Linked DNA regions of Coturnix japonica. The protein of the gene in region 1 purifies or fractionates together with the protein of each later gene. This does not show direct contact. Links are inferred from orthologs where the notes say so. Each region holds a gene or a part of one and is shown on either strand. Other genes may lie near its edges.

What was found.
Region 2: the proteins of STYX (region 1) and FBXW7 purify together in Homo sapiens (affinity purification with western blotting; 4 studies listed by BioGRID and IntAct, with this or other methods). This does not show direct contact. The link is inferred for Coturnix japonica from reciprocal best matches to the Homo sapiens genes STYX and FBXW7.

The regions. Positions count from the first base shown.
Region 1 is NC_029520.1:52,842,215-52,845,733, forward strand, and holds part of STYX (serine/threonine/tyrosine-interacting protein), read left to right. Parts: intron 1-1,211; coding exon 1,212-1,248; intron 1,249-1,800; coding exon 1,801-1,840; intron 1,841-1,931; coding exon 1,932-1,982; intron 1,983-2,579; coding exon 2,580-2,652; intron 2,653-3,519. UniProt on the Homo sapiens protein: Catalytically inactive phosphatase. Acts as a nuclear anchor for MAPK1/MAPK3 (ERK1/ERK2). Modulates cell-fate decisions and cell migration by spatiotemporal regulation of MAPK1/MAPK3 (ERK1/ERK2).
Region 2 is NC_029519.1:29,734,104-29,737,622, reverse strand, and holds part of FBXW7 (F-box/WD repeat-containing protein 7), read left to right. Parts: intron 1-1,013; coding exon 1,014-1,239; intron 1,240-3,519. UniProt on the Homo sapiens protein: Substrate recognition component of a SCF (SKP1-CUL1-F-box protein) E3 ubiquitin-protein ligase complex which mediates the ubiquitination and subsequent proteasomal degradation of target proteins.

The DNA of each region.
Region 1 (3,519 bases):
ACAAGAGCTGTAAGAGATTGTCCCGAAAGAAGACAGTTCATGGGGGAATCATAGTTATTTTGGAAAACTTTCTCCTAAAGGAAACTGGTATCCTGGGCTCCATCAGCAGAGGGGTGGCCAGCAGGGGCAGGAGGTGATTGTCCCTCTCTGCTCTGCCCTCTTGAGGCCCCATCTGCAGTGCTGTGTCCAGGTCTGGAGCCCCAATACAAGAAAGGCAGGGAGATGTTGGAGAGGGTCCAGAGGAGCCACAAAGATGCTCAGAGGCTGCAGCACCTTCCCTAAAAAGACAGGCTGAGGGAGCTGGGCTTGTTCAGCATGAAGAGAAGGCTGCGGGGTGACCTCAGTGCAGCCTGCCAGGACCTGAAGGGAGCCTACAGACAGGAGGGGAGTCAGCTCTGTGAAAGGGCAGATAACAGCAGGACAAGGGGAAATGGTTTGGAGTTGAAGGAGGGCAGATTGAGGTTGGATGTCAGGGGGAAGTTGTTTACTGTGAGAGTGGTGAGGTGCTGGAACAGCTGCCCAGAGAGGCTGTGGATGCCCCGTCCATCCCTGGAGGTGTTCAAGGCCAGGTTGGATGGGGCTGTGAGCAGCCTGGTCTAGAGGGAGGTGTCCCTGCTTATAGCCGGGGGTTGGAGCTACATGGTCCTTGAGGTCCCTTGGAATCCAAATCATTGCATGATTCTGTGCTTTACTGCTGCTTGGAATCTTCCCCACAATAAATAATCCAGCTTTTGCTGCTCATCCAGTGAACTGTTTCAACCTGGTACTATTCTACAGACCTCACTAGATCATGTCATGCCTTATTAGATTGCTTAGACCTCCTTTTGTAATTGAAAATATCATTGGGGAACCTTAGAAAGACACAGATATCAGTCTTGCGATCTGGGCCGTGCTGGTGTTGATGCTTGTGGTTTCTCCTTTACCTACAAGTATCAACCAAAGACGTCTGAAAGGTGCTTTGTATCACAGTGCCCTGACGTGCTGTGCTGCGTATCCCTGACTGTTTTATGGGTGAGGAGAAGCTGCAGTACAAATCAAGATGTTCAGCTGAAGTGGAGTCTAAGCCTGCATAAATGAAGTGGGTGACTGTTACTATGTGTAAAGACCAAGACAAAAATGTCTGCCAAATGTAAATGCAAACAGTAGGAAACTTTGTAAAAAATCCCAAAGTTCCAGTCTTTTGATGGTGGTTTTTTTTTCTCTCTTTTCAGACTAAAGAATTTATTGATGGAAGTTTACAAAGTGGAGGTAAATCAGATTGACTTTTCCCTTCATTGACCAGTACATTGCTCTTAAAGCTTTAAAGCAGATGTGTGTGATAGATGCTCTTAAATATGAGGCTTTCTTAAATGTGGGGGGGTTAATTTTGTTTGACTTGAACTGGATTACACACATCCAGAGTCAGCTGTTTTTCCCTTTTGCTTTCAACGGGAAAACAAACCTCTTCATACATCCCTCCTTCATTTGAGACTCATGTGTGCTCTCTAATGGAGAGCTTAAATCTGCATTGTGGTCCTAGAATGCTGATGCTGTTACTCACAGTCCTCAGAGGGTGGGAATCCACGTTTCTGTGTCCCGCAGTAGTGATGGTTAGATTACATGATCTTGTATGTCCTTTCCAACCTTATGATTCTATGATGCACGGAGTGTAGCCAGTAACAGAGTGAAGCGTAACACGCTCTTGTTATTCTTAGGTTGTGCCTTGCTGATGTTTAATTGCTCATAACAACTTAAAACTGCATCTCAAAGAACTTCCTTCCATTTTTACAAGAGCCTTTTTGGCTTTTTTTTCTTCCTCAGGAAAAGTTCTTGTCCATGGAAACGCAGGGATTTCTAGAAGGTAGGAGAACATCCATCCTGCTCGTTCTCATTTTACACCACTGGAATCTATTTTAGTGACTTTGAGAAATGTGTTTTTGTTTTTGTTTCAGTGCTGCCTTAGTTATTGCATACATCATGGAAACATTCGGGGTGAAGTACAGGTAAGAGCAGAGTTTGTGTAGTCCATGATCTGTCCAATAAGGCAGAAGTAAGAGGGTACTTAAGAGCAGAGAAGCAGTCTGGTATATCTGTAGATGTAATGGTTTTAATTCAAGTCACGTGAATTGAAATGGATAATAAATTTGGGGGGAATGCACAGTCCTGTATTGCCGTATAAACCACTTGTTGCCCCTGAGGCTGGGTGAAGGCTTTCACATGGGGAAGACGATTCCATTTCTTTCCCCTGAATATTTGCTTTCACCCTTCCATGAAGAAGCAGGCACCTTTTGCTAATGGCAGCCCACAGACTGGTGCCTTGCTGTCACACTCTGTAAGAGGGACCCCAAGAGGCTGTTACAAGACATGTTTCAAGCTGCATGTTGAAAACAGGCCAGCAAGTAGAAGGCTGGAGATTGGGGTGGGCAGAGAGTGTGTTACAGCTACTGCCTTCTGTTCTGCACAGAAAAGTTCAGTTAAGCAAAGCAGTTGTGAGAAGGCTGCGTGCTTCCCAGAACTGATAACCTGAACTCCTGAAGCCCCACAGATCTGTTACAGTCTGTTTTCCACTGAAGTGTTTTTTGTCTCTTTCTCTTGTTAAGGGATGCGTTTACTTACGTTCAAGAAAGAAGGTTCTGTATTAATCCTAATGCTGGATTTGTCCACCAACTTCAGGTGATGCTTTGTTCTTATTTCTGGGCTTGCATAACTTGGAGAAAGCTGCAGGGAGACCTCATTGTGGCCCTGCAGTACTTGAAGGGAACGTATAAACAGGAGGGGGAATGGCTGTTTGTGAGGGTGGCAGTGATAGGACAAGGGGGAATGGTTTGAAACTGAGACAGGGAAGGTTCAGGCTGGATCTGAGGAGGAAGTTTTTCCCCCAGAGGGTGGTGACGCACTGGAACAGGTTGCCCAAGGAGGCTGTGGATGCCCCATCCCTGCAGGCATTCAAGGCCAGGCTGGATGTGGCTNGGAACAGGTTGCCCAAGGAGGCTGTGGATGCCCCATCCCTGCAGGCATTCAAGGCCAGGCTGGATGTGGCTCTGGGCAGCCTGGGCTGCTGGTTGGTGACCCTGCACACAGCAGGGGGTTGGAACAGGGTGATCATTGTGGGCTTTTGCAACCCAGTGCAGTCTATGATTTTGTTTTTCTTATCACATCTCAAAACTCAGTTGTTGAGTCATCTTGCTACAAAACCAACTTTTCTACTTAGGCTTAATTTTCCTGTCAAAATGGTTATTTGAGTGAATGTCAGGAATCTATAGCTGACCTGGGGAAGAAGATGAACTGGTATCTTAGTTAATTAGATGTAAACTTTAGACAAAGCAAATCTAGGAATGGAAGAGAAATGAAAACAGTTTTGTGCACAGTGGTTAAAGGCTCTTTAAACAGCTTAGTTGGTGGCCAAGGAAAGTGCCAAGTGGGTATTGTGGCACACATCTGTGTTTATTCTTGATGCTTACGTTCATAGATAATGAAGTTCTCAGGTCTGAAACCACATTTTCAGTATCATGGAAATCTCTTTCTTAAAGCCATTTCCTG
Region 2 (3,519 bases), on another chromosome or scaffold:
ACACTTGTTAAATTGGGGTGTCTGATCAGACACTGAGTGAAATACAAAACAGGCGGAGCATCCAAACTAAAGTATGCCAGTTGACTAAGGGAGGAGATTATTAACTGAAGCAAAGGCATATGGATATTAATTAAAGAACAGAAAACTAAGAGAGTCAGGAACTTTATAAAGCTGTCTTTTACCTTATTCTAAAACTCATTCTTCATTACAACCCGATCCAGTCTACCACAGCAAATAATTTATTCTTAGCTTTTTGTACGTTACAGACTTTTACTCTCTCTGCAGAGTGACTTTAGTATTGTTGGTGCGGTTCTTTATCAACATTTTAACTTACTGTATCATCATTTCTGCGGTAGAAATTCATGTCTTGGTTCAAGGAACATTGGCAGAGTTACTTGGCTGTGGCACGGTGCTGTTGTCAGAGTGCCTGTTGGTTACATTTCTCTTTTTTGAAGAATGCTGAGGTTTTTCTTTATCTGTGCCATTAATATTAATTCCTTCTCACTTTTAAAATTGTGCTTGCCTAAAAAGGCTTTTAAAAGTATAAACTGAAAAAAAAAGCAAACAAGCAGAATAATCATTCCTTTGCTAAAAGTATAACTTCTAAAGAAGGATCTTCTTTAATTGTTATAATTAGTTAATTCAGTCATTTAAGCAGGATGCTCAAAGTGCTAATTTGAACTCGGCATATTCATAAGCTTTCATGGATGGATACAATGGTCCACATAGTTTCTCGTGGCATCATTTTGCTGTTCATGACTGAAGTGCTTTTTAAATAGATTGCTAATTATATCAAATGGATCCTGGAGAGACAAGCAGAGCAAGGAAGAAATGCACTCAAGTCATTTGCAACCCTGATGAACTGTTGTGTCAAACCAGATCTTCGGTGGCTAGCGGACAAATGCTATCTAGTGTTCCAGATGAAAACTTGTAACTGATTTATAACTATCTCATTGTTTTAATGCTCTTATTTCCAACGCTAAATATAGGAGGGGTTTTTTTTGTTCCTCCAGAGTGGTCAGTGGTTCTCGAGATGCTACACTGAGAGTTTGGGACATAGAGACGGGCCAGTGTTTACATGTTCTGATGGGCCACGTAGCTGCAGTTCGATGCGTTCAGTATGACGGAAGAAGGGTTGTAAGTGGTGCATATGATTTTATGGTCAAAGTGTGGGATCCAGAGACCGAGACCTGTCTGCACACGCTGCAAGGGCATACTAACAGAGTCTATTCATTACAGGTAAGTGATTTTCATCTGCTGCTTATATGAACATGGTGTATTTTACCTTCTTTAATAAACTGCAAATCCTTGCTCCAGAATTATACAGACCATGAAAATACTGGGGCTTAGGTCATATTCCCCTTTTCCATTTTTTCATCTTCGTCGTATGTTGCTTTAATTTAGAGGCTGTGGGTTTTTTGTTTTTTTTTTGTTTTTTGTTTTTTGTTTTTTTTTTTAAAGAGTACTTTTAAAGTCCATAATACAATAAAGCCCAAATCTCTGTCCTGGCAAGTTATGTACTTTTCTAGAGCTTGGGATTGTTTGTTAGGCGTTTTTTAAATGTTGTATTGGTTTCCCCAAAAGAAGTTCTAATGTTACTATTTAAATACATTAGCTAATACAGTATTTGAAAATGTGCCAGAAACCCCATTGGATTAATGTTCTGAATTAAGCAAATCTGTTCATCCTTATTTTGTAGTCACATCCTCTAGTTCCAAACTGTAATTCATAGTAAGGATGAACCTAAAACTTAATGCCCTGACTTAAGTATTTGTTTTATTGGTTCTGAGCAAAGGCTGCATCTACAGTTCTGAGGCTTTGTCTGCAGAGACATGTTGCTGTAGATGCAGATCATTCTTGGTACCAGTGTACGGCATGGCCAGTTTACCTCTTGCCTGACTTCACCACAGTTATGCTGGCAAAGTCATACACAGACCTCATGTCAACTCTTCTTACCTTTACTATTCCAAAAGATATCTTGTTCATTCACTGAACATCATTTCCAGGCACTGAAAGGAGAACAAAATTAATGTCATGCATGTGCCTGTTCTCACTGCAGTCTGGCAGAACTCAAAAAAGAAATAAACAACAAATTCAGCTCCCAGCTGGGAAACTGCATTCAGCGTGTAACTAGTCTGGTTGGTGGCACAGAAAATGAAGCTGCAGACGTTTTTAATAAATGTTATCATCAAAAGGTGCTTTTCACCATAATAGATCAAATGGTTTTCTATTTTAAAATGTATAGCAAAATTTATCAAAAATCACCATCCCTTCTCCTTCGTTCATGGGCTGCGGAGTATTTGAGACAAGCAGCAAACAGGTTAAAAATGCTGCACCACCTACCTCATATTATGGTTTTATCTGCAGCAGTTTGAGAACAGTGCACGTTATCTTCACTGGTGGCTCTTGTTCCAGTTGGCAAATATAAGTGTCTTACTCTACTAATGGAGTAGTAGAGGGTCAAGTAATTGGGTTATGTTGATCATGCTGGTAGTATTTATAGCTTGTAAGTGGAACTTGGAGAGGCAGAAGGCTACAGGTGCTTAGAGCTTTAGGACTTTCAAGTTTGTTGAAATTGAAAGGTAAGCTCCTGCTGAAACAGCCCATGAGTAGAATAATGAGGCTGAACAGTGTGCCTGTCTTCCCCACTCCTGCCCCATTGTGAATTCTCTTACGTTTCAGTATTTCCCCATTTGCGACCCCCCCAGACAATTGTTAGAGATCTTTAATGCCACAGTTTAAGAGTACTAATCCGGTTGCCTTTTCTTAGTCACCTTTCTCAGTTGCCTTTGTCATAGTCCACAGATTGTCAGGACCCTCAGAAAACACAGTACAGCCACTGATCTGAACCACTGTCTGTTTAACTGCAGCAATATTGAAGTAGTTTGTCTTTACACTCAGCCTTAAGGCTTTCTTTCTGAATACTTTATGCAAGTAGAATACAGGTAAATGACAGGAGAGAGGAGGTTTTTTTTTTTGTGTTTTTTCTTTTTTGCATCAGTCTTTCTTTAAGTCCAGCTTAGGAAAGAAAAACATTCTGTAGTGTTCCTTGCAGCAAGTGTGCTGGCTGCTCACCATTCCTGATCCATTTATCCAAAGTCAAATTAGTTCACATGCTTTTTTGAAAGCATAGTGCAGAAAACAGGATGCAAAATTCTAGTCAAAGTCTTAGCAATGCCTGCTGTAATGGAGAAGTTACTTTATGTATATTGTGTAGCATATCCCTATTTTGGATACCAGAGTGTGTGTTTTTTTAGTGTATTTTCACTGGAACTGCAATGTATTCCAGTCAGCAGGCTGCACGTGCCAGTTGCTCTCTAAATCTTCTGAACCAAAGTGTCACTCAGCCATGACTGCAGGTAGAGATCTGAGGTGTTCTAAGATGCAAGAGGTTTTACAAAAAGAAGCAGTCGGATAGCCGGGTTCTTTCTTCTCTTGTTACTAGATACCAGCAAGCCCACATGGACAAGTAGTGCTAGTTTGCTCTGGCTATCCCAGGCTGCAGTTTTACCCTTATGT